Linked DNA regions of Oryzias latipes. The main gene of each other region encodes a partner of the protein of the gene in region 2 in a complex. Links are inferred from orthologs where the notes say so. Each region holds a gene or a part of one and is shown on either strand. Other genes may lie near its edges.

Region 1 (8,844 bases), on a different chromosome or scaffold from region 2:
GAAAGACTAGTGAAGATGAAGTGATTTTGATAATTAAAAATAAATAAAGATATAACCAAAACTGAATGACCATTTTAAAGCCATTAGTTGGGTTTTATTTAGTAAACAAACCTTGAAAGTAATTTACGTTTAGGATCCCCACTAGAAATATAAAAAATATATCATCTAGACATAGATTTTGTCAGTGATGTGCATTTTGACTAACACAAGACTTGTGTTCACGAGAAATATTTAACAAAATCAAGATTTAGCTTTACTTATAACTTATTAAGTGTATAACAATGGATACACTAGCAATAGTGTGTTTGTCAAGACTAGAATTTTGACACGGAGTTTGCTTTTCAGCGGGGGGGAAAATGTAGTTACTGAAATAAAAGCGAGACATTGTTGAACACTCATCAGCTAAATCGAGTTTGCAACAACAAAGCAACACATTTCTTAAAAAAAAACATTTTGTTGTTAGCTAGCTTAGCTAACGCTAGTCAGCGAGGATTTTCCCTGTTTGAACGGACGTTACAGACCTGCTGTAAACGCCGTAAGGTGTAAAGCAGTGAAAACAGAGAGCTAGCACTGCAGGCTAGCTGTCAGGTTACCTTGTCATACTGCAACCATAGCTGGACAGCCTGGTCCAGTTTAGTGTCACCGGTGGGAACCAAATCGTTCTGCATGTCTCTTCTTAGTTCGGCTCCAGGCGATTTCCAGTTTATTTCTGTAAGTTCTTAGAAGCTTAAAGTTCTCCTCTAAAATGATTTTTCAGCTCTCCAGCAGCCGGGGATGACGGCACCTGACTCCACTTCCGAGCCACAGCAGACAGGCAACCAGCTGCGACCAATGACTGCTTGTAGAGGCCGCGAGGTTTGCGACACGCATGCGTCACTTGCGGCGTTCGTGGACTGTCGTAAAACTGGGTGTTACATTTCTCTGACTTTTTTGTGTTCTAAGGAAGATGAATTTAGATAAATTTATATTTTTTATAAAAACTTTAATTCGTAGATAAAGGCATGTTAATTTAGCATTTACAACCTCAGTGAGCTACTTCAATGTCCTTTGACAAGCTATACATGGTGAAAGTATACAAAATCTATAAAAAGTAAATGATTATGAAAAAAAGTTATCTGCAACTGCATAACCAAAGGCCATCTACTGGACTCTGCCTGTGTCTTTCAATTGTTATTTAAAAGAAATAGATTAAAAGAAACTCATATAAAACTATTTGGAAAAGAAATTCAACGCAAACTGAATTGAACAGTGATGAGTCAGTCGGTTAGGCCACAGTTCAAAACTTCTGTGTCCTTTGAAAGGACATTTAGCCCCCGATTTCCTTCAGTTTAATTAAACTTGTGTGGCCCAGTCTATTTTTGAGAAATGTGTCTGCTAAATGGTTACACGTGAATGCAGCTTCATTACAATTAGACTTCATTGAAAGAGGGATCACAGCAAGAAGCAGCTTAAATGTGGGAGGAGGAAAGGTTCGACTTAAGGTCAAATTGTCTAAAAATGTGGGGTACGCCAAAACCGTTTATAATTCATCTACAGTAAACCTTTAAAATCACTTTTTTCAAAAACTAGTAATGGTGCCGAAATTTGTTATCATAATATAAAGTCTGTTTTGTCCTAATAACTTAGAATCAGTTGTTTTCGCAATGTTGTCCAAGCTAAGCTAAAATAAAAACCACTGTAATAATTCAATTGTGCCCTCATCAGGGACCTTCAACTACATGTTTTACTTCTAAAGAAAAAGTGTTTCTTTAAGTTGAAAGCAAACAATCAAACCCCTATAATCTTATGTAGCATGTAATGAGTGTGGTCAAATACGTGTATAGGGGATAAATGTTCTAATATTTTGACAGAAAACATGAACAAAAATGAACAATCAAGCTGTTAGAAAAAATATTCTAGTAGAAGGATCTTTTAAAAATATGCCAATGACGATCAATATATATAATCATATGCAAAAGTTTAAGTTTGCTTGTAAACATTTTCTTTAAATGTCATTAAATAAAAATGACAAATTCAGATTTCTTTAATTTACCTTGAAATGCCTTCAAAAAGTATTTTTGTTGCAAACAGAATTACTAACAGGTCCAGAGAAGGGGGGAAAAAAAGCTAAAAAATACATGTCAACTTATCTCACTTCAAGTATTTTACATTCTGCTTTGAGTAAAACTAAAAGTCTGCAGACTGACTTACTTTTACTAATCTTCTCAGTCATATTATGGTAGACCAAAAATAAAAACCTGCCAGATTCTTTAGCTTAAACAGGTAGTCATGATGGCAAACATTTTCCATTACCCAACATTAAAAACTATTTGGGAGTTCTAATGTTTGAGGACCTAATGATCGACAAAAACAATCTGCAGCTGAGTTCCAGCTCGTTCTCTGGTCCTTCCTTTTTTAACAACGTGCCATACTCTGCAGGGAAACTCCTCTCTGGTTTAACCCGCCTTTGGGGTAGAGACTTAAGAGGATATAGTTCTGTTTTTATTTACTGCTGTCGGCATAAAAAAATAAAAACGTTAAACCACAAGCCATAACACAAAGAACAAAAAGTTTAGTCTAAATAAACCCTGAATACTTAAGTCTACCAGCACAGCTTCTAATTTTAGTTTTCCCACTGATGGAACGGCTAAAAATAATTATTTTGATTTCCATCGCAAGATTTTAGAATTTATTTTTTGAATACAAAGAAGAAATCATGTCAACTGTCAGTGGCACATGCTAACTAAAACTCCTTTTGTAACTGTTAATCAGCATCACAAACATCTCCAGTAATATGCATATTTATTCTGTAATTACTCATTAAGATGACTTACAATGAATTTAGATAAAGAAGACTTTCTTTCCATCAAAATGACATTACCAAAAGCTTTTTAAAAAGATTTACTATCCTGTTCTTGTAACAGTAGCAAAGGTGTTTCTTTGTCGTACAGCTCAAGACCTGTTTTAAAAAATATTATGGGTTAAATTTGAACAAAGAACAAACCACTAAGAAACTTTTCATCAGAACACAATGTCGACTTAAGCTGTTTGACGTTTCTCTTTGCCAGCCACTAATGCACATTGTCTTCACAGAAAATGTTTCCACTGTAAAAATGACAAAAACATCATCTGAAGCTAAATTACGTCTATTTGCATTTCAATACTACAAAAAGCTTCCAGTTCTGTTCCTGCTAGTGTGATCTAGGCATGAATCACCGTGTGAATTTGTGGGAAAAGGCTCTAAAAGCCTAATGTTGACTACAGCTCTTCTGCTGAAACCTGAGTGACAACACTGAGTGTGGGATGAAAACGGCCCTTGTGGGCACCCCACTGATGCTATCTGCTGCGTTTGCGCTGCTTGATGCTAAACAGGTCTTCATCTGTTGGGTACTGTGTGTTCAGTTTTTTCTGGGAAAATTTTTTCCCGTTTTTCTTTTGCTCTGCTTTTGGTTTTGTTGATGGCGGCCTCCATCTGTTCTCTCCCACGGTCCACCTAGGACAGTCGCGTCGCTTTCCTTGATGTCCCTCTGTCAGAGATGAGTGAATCCGCTTCATCTTATTTTTCTTTTTCATCTTCCTTCTCTCCTCTGCATCCTTTTTTGGCCTTCCTCCTCTCGGAAAGTCATCTTCTTCATCTAAAACGGGTTTAGCAGGTGGTAGTGGGTTTCTGGAGGAGGGCACAGGTCTCTTGGGCTTCCACTGTTTAGCACTGCCACCCCCATCCCTGAACTTTTTTGTTGTGGGTGTTTCATCTCTGAGCTCTTCATCCTTAAAAAATATATGGTTAGGATTGGACTTGTGGATTGGCTTTGGGGTTTGGTAAGGCGTATTGTTCGTCTGGGTGTTGATTTTCGGTTTCTTTTTAGGTGCTGTGAGGGTGGAAGGAGTCTGAGAAGGTCTGGGGAAGCTGCTGTTTTTCCGCATTTCTGATAAAAATAGAAAAAGAAAGAATGAGGTTAGTACTATTTGCTGATGCAGAGACACTCGTGAAGGCGATTAGCCTACATTTGGCATGTGGAAATAAGGAGAAAACCATCACTTCATGAAAAAATTGAATATTTCACAAAGAATACGAGTATTCTCACTGCAAATAAAAAAAAGCATTTTTGTCCTAGCTCGACAACAAAAGAGCAAAATCTCAAAAATCCCAAGTAACAAAGTAATTGTAAACCTTTTACTTTGACAAAATGTTTCAAACTGTTTACCCATGTTACCCTATTATTTTGTATTTTTAAGTTACCTTTGGAATATAAAAAAAAGAACAATTTTAGGTCCATCAAAAGAAATAAAGGTATCCATCTTTAATTTATGGTTGTTTTGATAGGACTAGTTGTTAAAATCCCTAATATTGTACCACTCCAACTACTGAGTTTTGGTTCTTTGGAGTTCCGTGAGGTTTCTACAGCAGGACACGTTGTCAGCTGTGTACCCCTCTTCAGAGGTAGGCCTGCCACTGTCCCCCGCTGTTATTTAGTCATTGTTGCCGTCCAGGTGATGTCACTCCTCCTCAGCCACAGCCAATGGCTTGCCCTCTCAGCTGTGTTGGTCAGCTCCTTAATGGCCTGTCTATAAGCCTGTCCTCTGACCCCGACCTCTCTGAGGAGCTTCGTGGCTGTACTGGCTACACCCTGCACCCTTTTAATTAAGCCAAGTATACATTTAGATGACAAATGGTCTTAAGTATGTATAAATGTAAAAAACAAAAGTTTGAAATGTAACTTTTTTATAAAAGATATATTGACGTTTCTTTATATGACAAACATCTCACAGTCAAATACAATATAATGATGAGGAAAATCTTGCAATAAAAAATCTGAGCTAAAAACAAGTTAATTTAAGCATTATTGCTAAATAAAGATAAATAAAGCCTGGGAAGGAATTAGTAACTTACCTTGAGTTTTTAGTTTTATCCTGTGTTGCCTGCGGTTAATTTCCTTCAATGTGTCGTAATGGTTGACGAATGGGATGGTGGGAAAAACCCCCTTAAACATTCTCTGTTTTGTACAGGCCTGGAAAAAAACAAACAAAAAAACTAAAGCAGAAGAATATTATACCTGGGTTTTTAAAGTCCCACTCCGATCATCTTTTGAGTTGTTGTAAAAGTGTTCCGAGTGTTTTTTTTAAAATAATGATTATGCTGTTTTTAGCCAAAATCTAAAAACCTGTACATTTGTAGGACATAGTTTCTACAGAGCGGCAGGAGTTAATCAGAAATTCGCTTCCGAGTTGTGGGCGGGACTGTTGGTGCTTCCCCTCATCCATCTGTTAGCACGCTCTCCTGCTGGCTGGCTTACAGCCCCTCACACCCCCAAAGTATCATTACCGGTGAAACAAAAATGGCGAAATGGCATCTGAGAGATCCCTGTACGTCTTTGTTTTCTATTTGTCTGCATCAGAATGGAGCGGAGCAGGGAGCTAGTGGCTTGCCGTGGTAGCTTCTACGTCACATCTACGAGCTTTTTTCAATAGCATTTCTTCAGCTGCTCCAGATTCACAACAATTTGAATAATGGAATACTCAGAAATGTCATTTTAAGCTCAACTCTTTTACATATGTCCTCCATCATCAGTAAAATGCCAAAGGAACATGTTAAAAACACCAAAAAACACAATTTTTCACTGTAGTGGGTCTTAAATGGTCTAACTTAAGCACAAGTCATATACTTCAATATTGTGTTCATGTTAAACAAACAAAGGCTGCTGCTTGTTTTTTTCCTCTTTTTTCCCCCCTTTAACTGTGTGAAGCAATATTTTCAGCCATTTATATTTTTGTGCTTTCAAAAAGAATTGTTTGTATAAAGGTTATTTATTAATATATTTTACTCCCTGCTTTCTTCCAGATATCATGTTTTTGACTAAAACATAAAAGAAACACTTGTAAAGTGTGAGCATATGAGATTCGTACGTAGCCAAAGTGTCCCTTCTTGGAGCAGTTGTAGCAGTAAGCAGGAGACCGACCCATATCTTCCGCTTGCTTCTTTACTGGGGGGCCATTTTCAGTCTAAGGACAAAAAAACAAAAAGGGGTTAATTGCATTTTTATAAGTCTAAAGTAGAAATGTGCATCAAACAAAACGAAGGGGTTTATTCTTCCATCCCTCCTCGCTTCTGTCGCCATTCCAATGCTCCCCATTGATAAGGATGGATGTTGATAGAATGAGGTGATTACAAAGGTGTGATTTGAGACCTGTAATGAACCTCTATGATAAGTAACAGTGTGTGTGCATGTGTGTGTGTTGGACACAGACTCCTCTTTAGGCCAGCGTTCTAAAGGACTTCCATGCTTCAGTGCCCACAGCAAATATACACTGATAAAGAGAGAAAAGGGACTGAGGCACCGAGCATTTACTCCTAATGTCTCACACACACACACACGCACGCACGCACTTCTACCAGCATTCACGACAACACATGCACAAAGCTCCACACACCTTCACACTCCTGTCTGGAGTGGCTCCTCCTTCCTCTCAGGCCTGTTTCCAAGATTACAAAAGATTTGTGCTCAACGTCATTTCTTAAACATTACTTAGCTTACCTCTCCTCCCACCTGCCTCCCCTCTTTGCTGTGTACAACCCCCCCGATGCAAACCAACAGACTTGCCCCCCCCCTTCTCGCCTTCTCTTTTCCGCTTGAGTAGTTTTGCAGTAGAAGGGATGAATGTTATTAGAGCACCGCGTCATTATCGGGTCAGGCCTGCCGGGCCCATCTCCATCACAAAGGCCAGGAGATCACAGACCTCCTGCAAGCGCACACCCCGACGTACGCACACATTCACTCATACACGCACACATGTGCACCCCTAAGGAGATCACAGTCCCAGTCTCAGGCCCCCCAATCGCCACCCTTCCTACCCCTCTTCCCATTCATCTTTCATGTAAATTGGCTGTAGGTCTTCCTCTGCCTCTTCCTCCCTGACCTTGGGCTTGCCTTATCTCCACACAGTCTGATCCAGCACACAGACGCTGATTTTGAAGCACAGAAGAGGGGAAAAAAAGGAGAAATTAAATCCCAGCGTGTTCTTTCATCAACCTGAGATCTGGGTGTAAGAACCTGGCATGAATGTGTGTCTGAAAGCATGTGCGAACAAGGAGTTATCTGCCTCTTTCAATATTAATTAAATGGAGAAACCTTTATCCCTCTTTATGGTCTCGCCCTCGTGGAGCCCATTCACAGGATTATAAACAAGGTCAAGCCTGGGGAGAACACCTCAACTTGGAGTTTTTCCAACGTCTGCTGAAAAACAAATCATTTCCCTGCCAAAAAGAGTCTCAGAGGCTCATTTGTCAAATTAAGTGCCACTGATCAGTGTCCTAGCGAAGAATTTTGTTTTTTTTAAATTAACAGTAAAAAAGTTTCTACAGTCACACCTTCCTGCTGAGAAGCTGCCAGTTTTTGGCAACATGACAGAAATACCTCAAGTTTAAAATTCATTTTTTAAATAATCACGGTTAAACAGAATAGTTGTAAACACTGAAATAAAAGCGTAATATACTTCATTGAAAAAGATCCGTCCCATAGAATTGATTTCAAAATGACCCCAAAAAGTTCTAAAAATTCAGATATTTTTCAGTAAAGGTAAAAACAAAAGAAACAAGAGCTGCCTTAATGCTAGAAAGTAATTTAAACACAAGAAAACCTAAAGCTAGTGTTGCTAAAACTACAAGCTAAAACATTCCAACGGATTCTTTGACAACAACAGAATGAAAACCAAAATTTCGCATTTAATGGATTCAGTGGGTCATGTATTAGTAGAACATGTCTATTTCTGATCAAAGGTCATTATAATGGCATAATGGACATGTGCATGCACATACATGTGTATGTGTATTTCTTTTTCTTCTACATTATTAATTTTACAATCAAGTCCTTAATGATCAGCTAAAGTTGACAAATCTATTTATAGGGATACATTTCTTTTGTTTGTCTTTAGGATTTTCTGTTTGAAATAAATCAATTCCAAATGTAGTGGAGCAACAAAATCCTCATCTTACACCATGTTGCAGACGGTGCTACTAAAGCTGTACAACACTGATAAAACACACCAGCAGCCTCAGACGGTCTTTCTGAACCGGATGTTCATTATCAGTTTCTCTGCACAATCAACCAAAAGTGTGTTTGTTCTGCAGTTTTCCTGCATGCTGAAGAGCTTTAGAGTTAGTGCACCAGTCAAACCTTTAGATATGTTTGAGCAGTAGTCATCAGATGACATTCTATTCAAATGTAGTGCATGGAATGGCATTGTATACAGTATTAGCAAACACACAAACAAGTTGTGTATGAAAGAAAGCCATTGTAAGTTGCAGAAATACCAAGAGATTGCAAAAACATGCAACCTTGCAACATGGACGTTGATTATGTTTATTATATTTCTTTTGTTGACTTTAAAATCAACAGAAAAGGGTTTTTAAAAAAAACGGTTTTGAATTTAACACTGACATTGGTTTCTCTCTTCGTTTCTCTGTTTCTGTTTGTCTCTTTCCTGACCTCTGCTACCCAAACTGTCACTGCGCCATCTGGTGGTCATCTATTCTTCTTGATGAATGTTTTTTTTTTTTTCTGTGGCAAATTAGAGAATGTTTTCATCCAAATGCATGTTAGAACCTTAAGATTTTAACGTGATCTTTATTTCACTAACATGGATCTTTATTCAAAAGAGTAGCAAAAAGTACGACCAGAGTAGCAGAAATCTAAAAATTGCCAAAAAACTTTTTATTTGTCATTGTTTGTATATTTCTTCAAACTATCATGGCAGTTAAAAAATATGTATAAAAAAATAAAAAAAGGATGGAAGTGACGGATATGTCAGAGATTGTTGATTTTTTAAATAATTTGTAAAGTTCTGTTTTATTAAACTTGTGTTAAAGCA
Region 2 (8,844 bases):
CTGTTCCTGAATATATCTTTTTCTATCCAACCTCAGCTCCAAATGATCCCATCTTAAAATATAGGACTCAGATATGAGATACAATATTAATAATACATTTATCCGTACTATGTCCATGTAATTAATAAAAAAATAAATACATTTAACAAATACAAATGATTCTGCAGTTGGTAAATTCCTAAATAAACAGATTATCTCCCACAGACCAATTGCTAACACATTTCAAGTTTAGGATTTTTAATAAAATCATTACCACCACCAATAGGTTTCGACCTTCAAGCTTCTATACTGATGTGGTTGTGCTACTTAAAGAGTACAAAGCTCATTTCTGTTATCTATGGGTGGGTGGTGTGAGCTCTGCCTCACTCAAAGCTAGCTGTCAACACGCTCAGATGAACCTGAAGTAAAAATAAATGCTGATGATTTCTGTTGGCAATGGGGACCCGAACCAGCTGCTGATTGGTCCAAACAGCAGCCGTCATAAGACGCGTCGCGTGTGTTTAAGTGACTTTTATCCAGTGAGGTCGTAAAAAGGTCCTATGAAATCGTTTTTTTTTCTTGTCTCCTCATATGTGCAACAATTTTCTTTAAGCATTGTACAAATGTTTTTGTAGAACTCGACAAAACGGATTCACAGAGAAATTCAACAGAAGAAAAATATCATGCATAACTTAATTCCCACTCTCACTGATTGCATTTGTAAGTAGCATCATAAAAAAATTGTATAAGTGTTTGACATTTTTCCTTTTTTGTACATTAAAATATTTTTTTTTGTCTTTTTCCTCATTTTTTTTCTTTTTTTTTGTGAGGGCGGGAAAATCAAATTGGTGATCTGGTTTGCAGTTCCAGGTTTTTGCTCCGGAGCAGAGTCAGTTCCAGGTGCTTGGTCCTGGCCTCGTCCTGAACAGCAGGGGGTGCAGGAGCCTGGCTGCGGGAATTAAAAGGGCTCCATAAATGAAGCCGATGGGAAGCAATGGAGTATTCACTCTTAGTTACAGTTTAGGTCCAAAAATATGGTTCCCACTGCCAATAAGGTTTTTTTTTGTTTTTCCTCAGTAAGAAAGCAATATTTGTCACCCTGAAAAGGGTCACCGGAGTCCTCAGGTGTTCTGAAACCACCAATAACATCCAGAGGGAGAAGTAAAACCTTTATGAGAAGAAGGTATCGAGGGGTTGGAGGAGTTGCAGAACAAAGTAACCCCTATCTGTAGAGATCCTCTTGTGTGGAGTCCCGTACATTTTTCCTCTTCTTGCTATTGCCCTGGTGAACCAGCTTGTTTTTAGGATTATTTGTGGTTTTGGTTGAGTTCTGCTGCCCTTGGTGACCATTATTGTGGTGGGCACGAGACATCCGGGCCTGGAAATTTGAAACATAATATTTAATATATATGATCAAACCACCAGCACGTATGGTTATTAAACTGGGTTTACGCTGAGCACACCTTTCCTCCTTTGTTGCCTGTGGTTGGAGTGATGGTAGATTGATTCTGTGTGCGGTGATTAGTGGCCACAGCCGGCTTTTCTCTGAGAGTGCCAGGGCCTCGACCGGGCTGCTGCTTGGCCGTCTTACACGGTGTGCCGTCAGAGTCCTGGAGAAAACCGTTTTTCCTATTAACGAAATCCCCCTTTAACACACCTGGAGTTCCGTGTGCAGCTCAGGTAACTCACCGCATCGCTGGAGGTAGACGTTGGGGACGTGGATGGCGGGGACAGAGGGGAGGAGGAGTGAGACGAACGCAGGGAGGGGGGTGGAGACGACGTGTTGGAGAACGTTTTGCTGCGAGGAGCTAGTGGCAGAACAACAACCACCTCGTCGTCTGGAACGTTGTTGTTGCGCTCATCCAGCTGCTGGGGATCCAACAGCTTCACATCGTTTTCTACAAAGAGAAGCAGCTGATGTCTTTACTGTGACAAAAAGTAAATAAAGTTTCAAAAAAGTATAAACCTACTATTAAGAGGCAGATCAATCTGCGATGAGTTGCCCCAGTTATTTCGGATCCATTCCCTGTACTCGTCCACTTCCTTGGTCACCCGGATTATCCGGCCAAGTATGCTACAATGAAGGAATCGAGTTAAACACGTCTTAGTTTGAGTCAACTAACAGCTAGTCTCTACAAAGACCACAATAACATCGCTCTCCTTACCTCTCACTTTCGTTATTGGGATAGCACTTGGCAATCTGTGATACAGCATGGTGGAGCACCACAAAGGCGTATTCAAAGGCCTGCTTCACCTGCATGGCACCGTAGGAGCTCCTGCCGACATCATTGTCTATGTGGCACAAAGAAACAACAAACACGCTGCTTTAATACCCAGATTCCTATTTCAAACGTGTGTTTGTTGTTAACAGTATCACCTGGCTGCAGAGGGTCCTCAATGTAGAGCATAGACGGCCTGTATCCATCCATCATGTTCTTCTGGACCTCATCTTTGGCCACATAAGAACCGCCGTCTTTTATCCGGATGCCCGTTTTCAGGTAGTTGAAGTGGCGACCGTACAGTTCGAAGAATTCAATCAGCAGCACACCGATGTTGATGTTGGGGCTGCACACGTCCTCCCTGAAGTGAAGCTACAAACAAAGAAACGGATTTAGACTTAATGTCAGGACAGTAATCAGTGTTTCTGCAAGACCCTGGGTCATATTTTGCAGCCATATTCTGACATTTTCGGTGTTGCCGTTTTTTTTAGGTTGGAAAAAAAACCAAATCTTTAAAACACAGAAAATCTTGTTTTTAAGCAGCTTCAGGACACATTTTCATTCTGGTGATGAAACACTGATGCTGAGGAAACCGTCATCGCTTCCGAAGCGTTGCTTGCTGAACTAACCTGCAGGAAGCTGACAGCCATGAGAAAGAGACTGTAGGAGCCGATGCCCCCGGTAAAAACCTCATTAAGGTCTCTTTGTAGAAGAAACTGCTTCAGCACCAGAACCAGGTAAGGCAACACGGGGTACTTCTGCAATGAAGGGAGATTAAAGACTCTGGATCAGCTAAAGGTTTAAGGGACACACTTCAAAAATAAAAACATGGTAGTCTATATTCCTAATTTTAATTAAATGCCTTACATTTTTTTCAAAACTAATAAATCATTTTTGTCATGCATTAAGATTTCTTGCTCTCTTTCTGTAAACTTTAGGTCACCTCTTTGAATTCCTTGATGAGCCGAGCAGCTTTGACGCCACTTTCCACGTTGAAGCTGATGTCCACTTTGACTTCAGTGACAGAGTCAGTCAGTTTAATGATGGGAACCTAAAAAAAAAGCAGAATTAGTCCTGACACAGACTCTGACAAGTGCTCAATTAAAATAAACTTCATAAAATATAAACAAAATCTTGAACAGGCATTTCATTTACATTACAATTTTAAAGTCTAAATTACTGCTTCACATAAAAGAGCATTAATTTGATGAAATGAGTGGTAAAAATTATATTTAAAAGAAAATCCCAGCACTAAAATCAATTAAACTACCGGTTTTAAAATTCAAACTTTATTTACTTTCTGCCACTTAAAAACTTAATAAAAATATACTTAAAAATAAAAACATGCATTAAGAATCAATCAATACAAATATGAGTCTTTGGGTGAGTTCAGTTTTACCGTTGCTTTATCCAAGACCTTAATCGCGCTCTTATCCGCAACATTTCTCTTCCGAAGAGCCTCTTCCAACGTCCAAAGCGGGAGAGTCTCCCACTTACCGAAAACTACCAGGTCAATGTCACTGGTGAGTAAAGAAAAAGAAAAATTATGGTTTTTTTTTGTTTGAATAACAAACATTTCACACAGCGAACCTATGGTATGGTCATTTATCTTACATTTAAAAGAAATCTCAGGATAAAATCTAGAAAACATTTTGCATCTGAAATAACTGTGGAATACTTTCATAATGTAAGCTTAATAAATAATTGTTCACCAATCCAACTTTAGTGAATAATATTTGGGAAGAAGGATAAATTTTAAAAAGTGCTTCTTCCATGTAATACCTTTAACATAAATATATCTCTGTAACTTGGGACCTTTATTTATTACAAGCCTTCGGATAACTGCAGACTGTTCTGTTATGGGAAATGAGTAGCTTCTAATAAACAGGAAGGGCCGAAAGCATCAAATTAATCAACAATATCTCCAGTGTGTTCACTAAATGGAATTCTAAAAAGGCAGAACCGATGGTTAGATTGCACAGTAAAGATCTTGTGGACTTGGTAACCTTGAAGAGATTAATAAACACATTTCTATAGTAAGAACAGCACACCATGCAGTCAACTGCAAACAGGTCTAAATAGTGGGCCAGAATGATGTCAAGAGTCCTGAAGACTCCTCATCAACATCCTCCTCAATTGAAATCAGACTAACATCCACTCAGTGAGAGCACAGTAAAACAAAACATTCACGGTACTGCGAATGATAACAGGTTAGATTGCCCTTTCCCTTCCGTGCCGACACACTACCTTCTGAAAGGGCCTAAACTGCTTGTAGTACGGGTGGGATCAAGTTATATTAGTCTTCAGGTGTAAAGCCCATTTTTTATTGATGCATTTAACATTAAGGGCAAACTTCATGTTAACATTTAAACCTGGAAGCCTGGGAGTGAAGGTTTTTTTTTTTTTAGATGCAGCTAGGGTTGGGCGATGTCCCTTAAATTGGCCGTTGACGATGTTTGCTGTCAACCATCGGGATGGACGATGACATCGTCGGGGGGGGGGGGGGGGGGGGTATTTTTACATTTTTCGTTCTTATATAACTGCTATTCGTTTTTTTAGTTTTATTTTCCAACTAATGACTAATCCGCGATGATCCCGTATAAACTGAGGGAAGTGACTTTAACAAAAAAAGTAACAAACAAAATAGAAAAGAAGTAGTCCGCTCCCGCACTTCGCTAGTGAAGTGGACCGGCGGAGCGCGGACTTACAGCTTTGTGTTTGAGGGGAAGGGGGGGGGGGGTGGTGCTTTGTTACATGAGCGCTATGTGTGGGAGATTTAAGACTGCGATCCGTCCCGCAGCTCTAGGGGTACAAGCAACCGAACTCAGAACCGGGTCTAAAAGTGTTTGTCTGAGCACAGCTCGGATCGTCAGCACACACAGCGGTTTGAGCATCAAAGCAGAAATGTCGCTCAGTCCTTAGAAAACATTCAAACAATCACGCGGATTTGTGTTTCCAGTCGTGTCCCGACTAAATAAAGGCTGATGTTATTCTTACATGTTTACGTGCAGCCAGCGAGCAGCACCACCCAAAGCTAATGTTGTTAGCCCGTGTTAGCATACGGCTAATCCTGGCTTCGTTCAGAAAAAGCACTGACCACACGGATTAAAATTCAAATGATGAGCGAACAGGTGTTTCATAATAACCGTAACATTATTAAAAGCACGTTTAGAAGATCATCTCGTATTTTACCGAGCTGACATGTCAATGTATATAGCCGCTCGGCGCTGTTAACATTGTTTTGTATTGAATTGTTACATTCAATAAAGTTTGAAAAAAAAAAGCCGCTCGGCGGAATTTATATCCTTCCGGTTTTCAAACCCTACTGCGCATGTGCGAATGATTTATTCCGACGGAAAGTGTGACCTTAGTGAACGTTTTTATATTCTGAAAACATTTTTCTGGGCCCATGTACACGGTTGGATTCTAATCTGACCATTGATCCCATCAAGATATTTTGTACATGTAACCGCGGCTTATGGTGTCGACGCGCAACGTGGCGGGGGCGTGGCATCACGATGGTGGTCTCTCCATCGGGATGTCAGTCACCCATCACGATGGACGATGATATCGTCCATCGGCACAACCCTAGATGCAGCTTTACTCAGTGTTTTTTTCTTCGGGGGGGTTGCAGTGTTGCAGTGAATGCACCACTGTGGCTGCAGTATCCTTGTGTTTACAATTCCGTCAAATGAGGCGGAGACGAACATGTTTCCCTGTTTAGGGGTACTGAACGCATTTGCAAGGTGTAGCAGAAGCCATTGAACACGGCAGTGTCTTTGCTGCCACATGCACACTTCTTGTGTACTACAGGGGTCTCAAACTCAATTTACCTGGGGGCCACAGAAGGCAGGGTCTAGCTATGGGAGGGCCGCAACTTCACACACACGCAACTTGTGAGTGTAAGAGACAAATTTTTATGGAACATATACTATACTATTAACTATACTCTATTATTAACTGTTTTCTGTACAAAATGTCCTTTTAAAACTCTCATTCAAATGAAATACGTGAATAAAAAATCAATAAGTAAATAAATCAATAAAACATTTCTGTTTATTTAGAATGTCCTTTTTAACACACTTCAGTTAACACTGTTGAATTATAACTATTAAACCCATAAGAAGACTTTTTACAGTTCTGTAACGTCCATCAATGGGTTCTTCTGTACACGGCTCCTCTGTCTACTTCTCACTGCCGGACACTTGGCAGCACTTCCTCCCAAACAGCTGAGACCCTCAGTGTGATCCAAGATGATCGTCAGTAAATCTGGACTGTACTTTGGCTTATTGAAATTTAAGGTGGAGAAGTCAGAGAGTATGTGCTCCCAATTTTGAGTCTATGTTGAATTTTTTTATTTTAAAGTTTACTCTTTAAACCACAAATCAGTAAAGGTAAAACAAAATTCAGTGACCATTTTTAGATTTTCTTTCTTATGACTTTTAGCGCATTTAAACCCTAGTCACAAGTTATTGTAGAGCAGCCGGTCAAACATTCCTATAGTTTTATACTGAATTCAAACCGTGGTTCCTAAAAGAACGGGTGCTGTTTACTGGAGATCAGAACAATCATTACCAATACCTGAGATCAGAGAAAAGCTCAAAAGCGGATGGAAATTTATGTTGGCGTCACCAAATATGTGCAGCCAAGATGCACAATCAGCGTGTTTGAGATCACCCAGGTGGACGAAACGCTGCACAGATCACCTGGTGTGCAACATGTTTTTGCCCCAACGTCACCTGTCAGTCATCACAAAAATATCACCAGAAAGGGGCGGGAGCAAGGCCCAACTTAAGCGAACGCAACTGGAAATTTTGTACCGTGCTGACCACAAGCCGCCAAATGACTACAAAATGGTGCATTATGGGAAACGTGTCCTGACGGTTTTTCTAGTTGAGTGATCAATTAAAATCATTTTAAATACCTATTGATTTAAAAAAAAAGGCTACATACATTACAAAACAGTGAGATTAATATAAAAGACATAATAATCAGATCATACTGAGGGGGAGAGGCATATTAAAACAAAATTGAACGTTAAGGACAACGCCAACTTCCTGTTCTCCTTCAGTCTCGCTGCAGATTCGACTTCATCTCCCGAGCGAATAAATACGTTCTAAAAAGGAAAGTAAGGAACTCCTTAATGTGGTCCGGGGAGGGGGCTGTCAGGTGTCCTGCCTTAAATGTTACCCTGCTTTCAAGCCCGGTCAATGTCACGCCCCCAAGAGTCATATACCCCACTGTGATTGGTTAGTTCGTCACAACACTGAAAAAGTGTCATTCATACAGACGGGCGGGACGCGTTAACATTAAACTTTCATATTAAGGCGGGGGCCACAAAATATCGTCTTGGGGGCTGCAAACAATCAGCGGGCCGCAAGTTTGAGACCCCTGGTGTAGAAGGAGTCCTATCCAGTGCTTTCTACATTTAACAAAACTGCTCCCAGTGTGCCATTGGTCAAGCTACAGTTTTACCTCAGCTTGACTTTTTAAGTGGATTTGGGCCCTAATCTCACTATAGCTGACCAAATTTACCAAGAATGTGACTCAACTACAATATTCATTGACTACAACATCCAGGAAAAGAAGCTAAAACGTGTTAAATTTCCTCTGTTTTACTGCATGACTAACAGTAAACTACAGATGCCATGAAAGAGAAAAAATATTTCTCTTCTGCATACGCATTTATTATTGTCTTCTACATTATGACAGGCTGAATAAAAACTAACTGAACTTTTTTTTCATTGATATCAAATTAAAAAAAGTTATTTTGTAATACACAAATCATATATCCAAAACAAAACGGTGACTCAAGCTCTGAGGTTTGAACCGAACCAGGAGGAAAGCATATAGTTGCATCCCTTCAGTAAAGAAAATAAAAGAAACTTTTTTTCCTTCAGTCTGCATTACTTTGCGTGTTTTAGACTCATAAAGAAGACGGCATGCAACCACTCTTGTTAATATTAAAAGGTAAGCAAAAATATAGTTAGTTTCAAATGTATGGATTCATTCAGAAACCAACAACGCTTACCTTGTTGGCAGATAAAGACCAGTGCTGAAACTCCCAAACACCTGAACCTAAAGAAAGAAAAAAATCACAGTTGATAAACCAACAGTATTTAATTTTCATTTAAGGGGGAAAAAAATTCTTTACTTTATTCATTTTGTAATTTTTTAATCTCCTTCAAACTTTAAATACACCTTAACCTAACCAAATTATAAAAATGAAGAAATGCTAAGCAACAAAAGTAAATTTAAAAAGCAAAGTAACATTTGCCTTTTATAGAAATGCTTCCCAGAAAAACATCAATACCAAATAAAGTAATAACATACTTAAAACTATTAACTGTGTTGATTTTAACTGTTGTATCACAATTAAATACAACAAAAACATTTAATTAAAAAAAATGAAAGAGTAAAAACAATTTAGTAACAAAGAAATAAAAGAAACAAAATCATAAATAAACTTTTTCATTGAACTAAATAAGCAATGACCTGCCACAGAGATGAAGGTAACCATGAAAAGATCAAGTGTCGAACGGTTCCCACTCAAAGACAAAACTACTACCAGCAAATTACTGAATGAATAATTGAATACTTATATATGAAAAAAACAAGACAATTCAATGTAAAACTTTGACCCTTT

What was found.
Region 1: papd5 (region 2) and zcchc7 share a complex: the UniProt entries of both Homo sapiens proteins name them as parts of the nucleolar TRAMP-like complex. The link is inferred for Oryzias latipes from reciprocal best matches to the Homo sapiens genes TENT4B and ZCCHC7.

Annotation. Positions count from the first base shown.
Region 1 is NC_019859.2:12,834,307-12,843,150, reverse strand, and holds the end of zcchc7 (zinc finger CCHC domain-containing protein 7), read right to left. Parts: intron 5,980-8,844; coding exon 5,884-5,979; intron 4,989-5,883; coding exon 4,871-4,988; intron 3,906-4,870; coding exon 3,316-3,905; 3' UTR 2,655-3,315; downstream 1-2,654. Other genes in the region: pgm2 (phosphoglucomutase-2), read right to left, coding at 594-668.
Region 2 is NC_019861.2:30,428,362-30,437,205, forward strand, and holds part of papd5 (non-canonical poly(A) RNA polymerase PAPD5), read right to left. Parts: intron 8,277-8,844; coding exon 8,230-8,276; intron 3,719-8,229; coding exon 3,598-3,718; intron 3,250-3,597; coding exon 3,142-3,249; intron 2,957-3,141; coding exon 2,828-2,956; intron 2,571-2,827; coding exon 2,357-2,570; intron 2,272-2,356; coding exon 2,145-2,271; intron 2,054-2,144; coding exon 1,950-2,053; intron 1,878-1,949; coding exon 1,669-1,877; intron 1,590-1,668; coding exon 1,443-1,589; intron 1,358-1,442; coding exon 1,202-1,357; 3' UTR 1-1,201. UniProt on the Homo sapiens protein: Terminal nucleotidyltransferase that catalyzes preferentially the transfer of ATP and GTP on RNA 3' poly(A) tail creating a heterogeneous 3' poly(A) tail leading to mRNAs stabilization by protecting mRNAs from active deadenylation.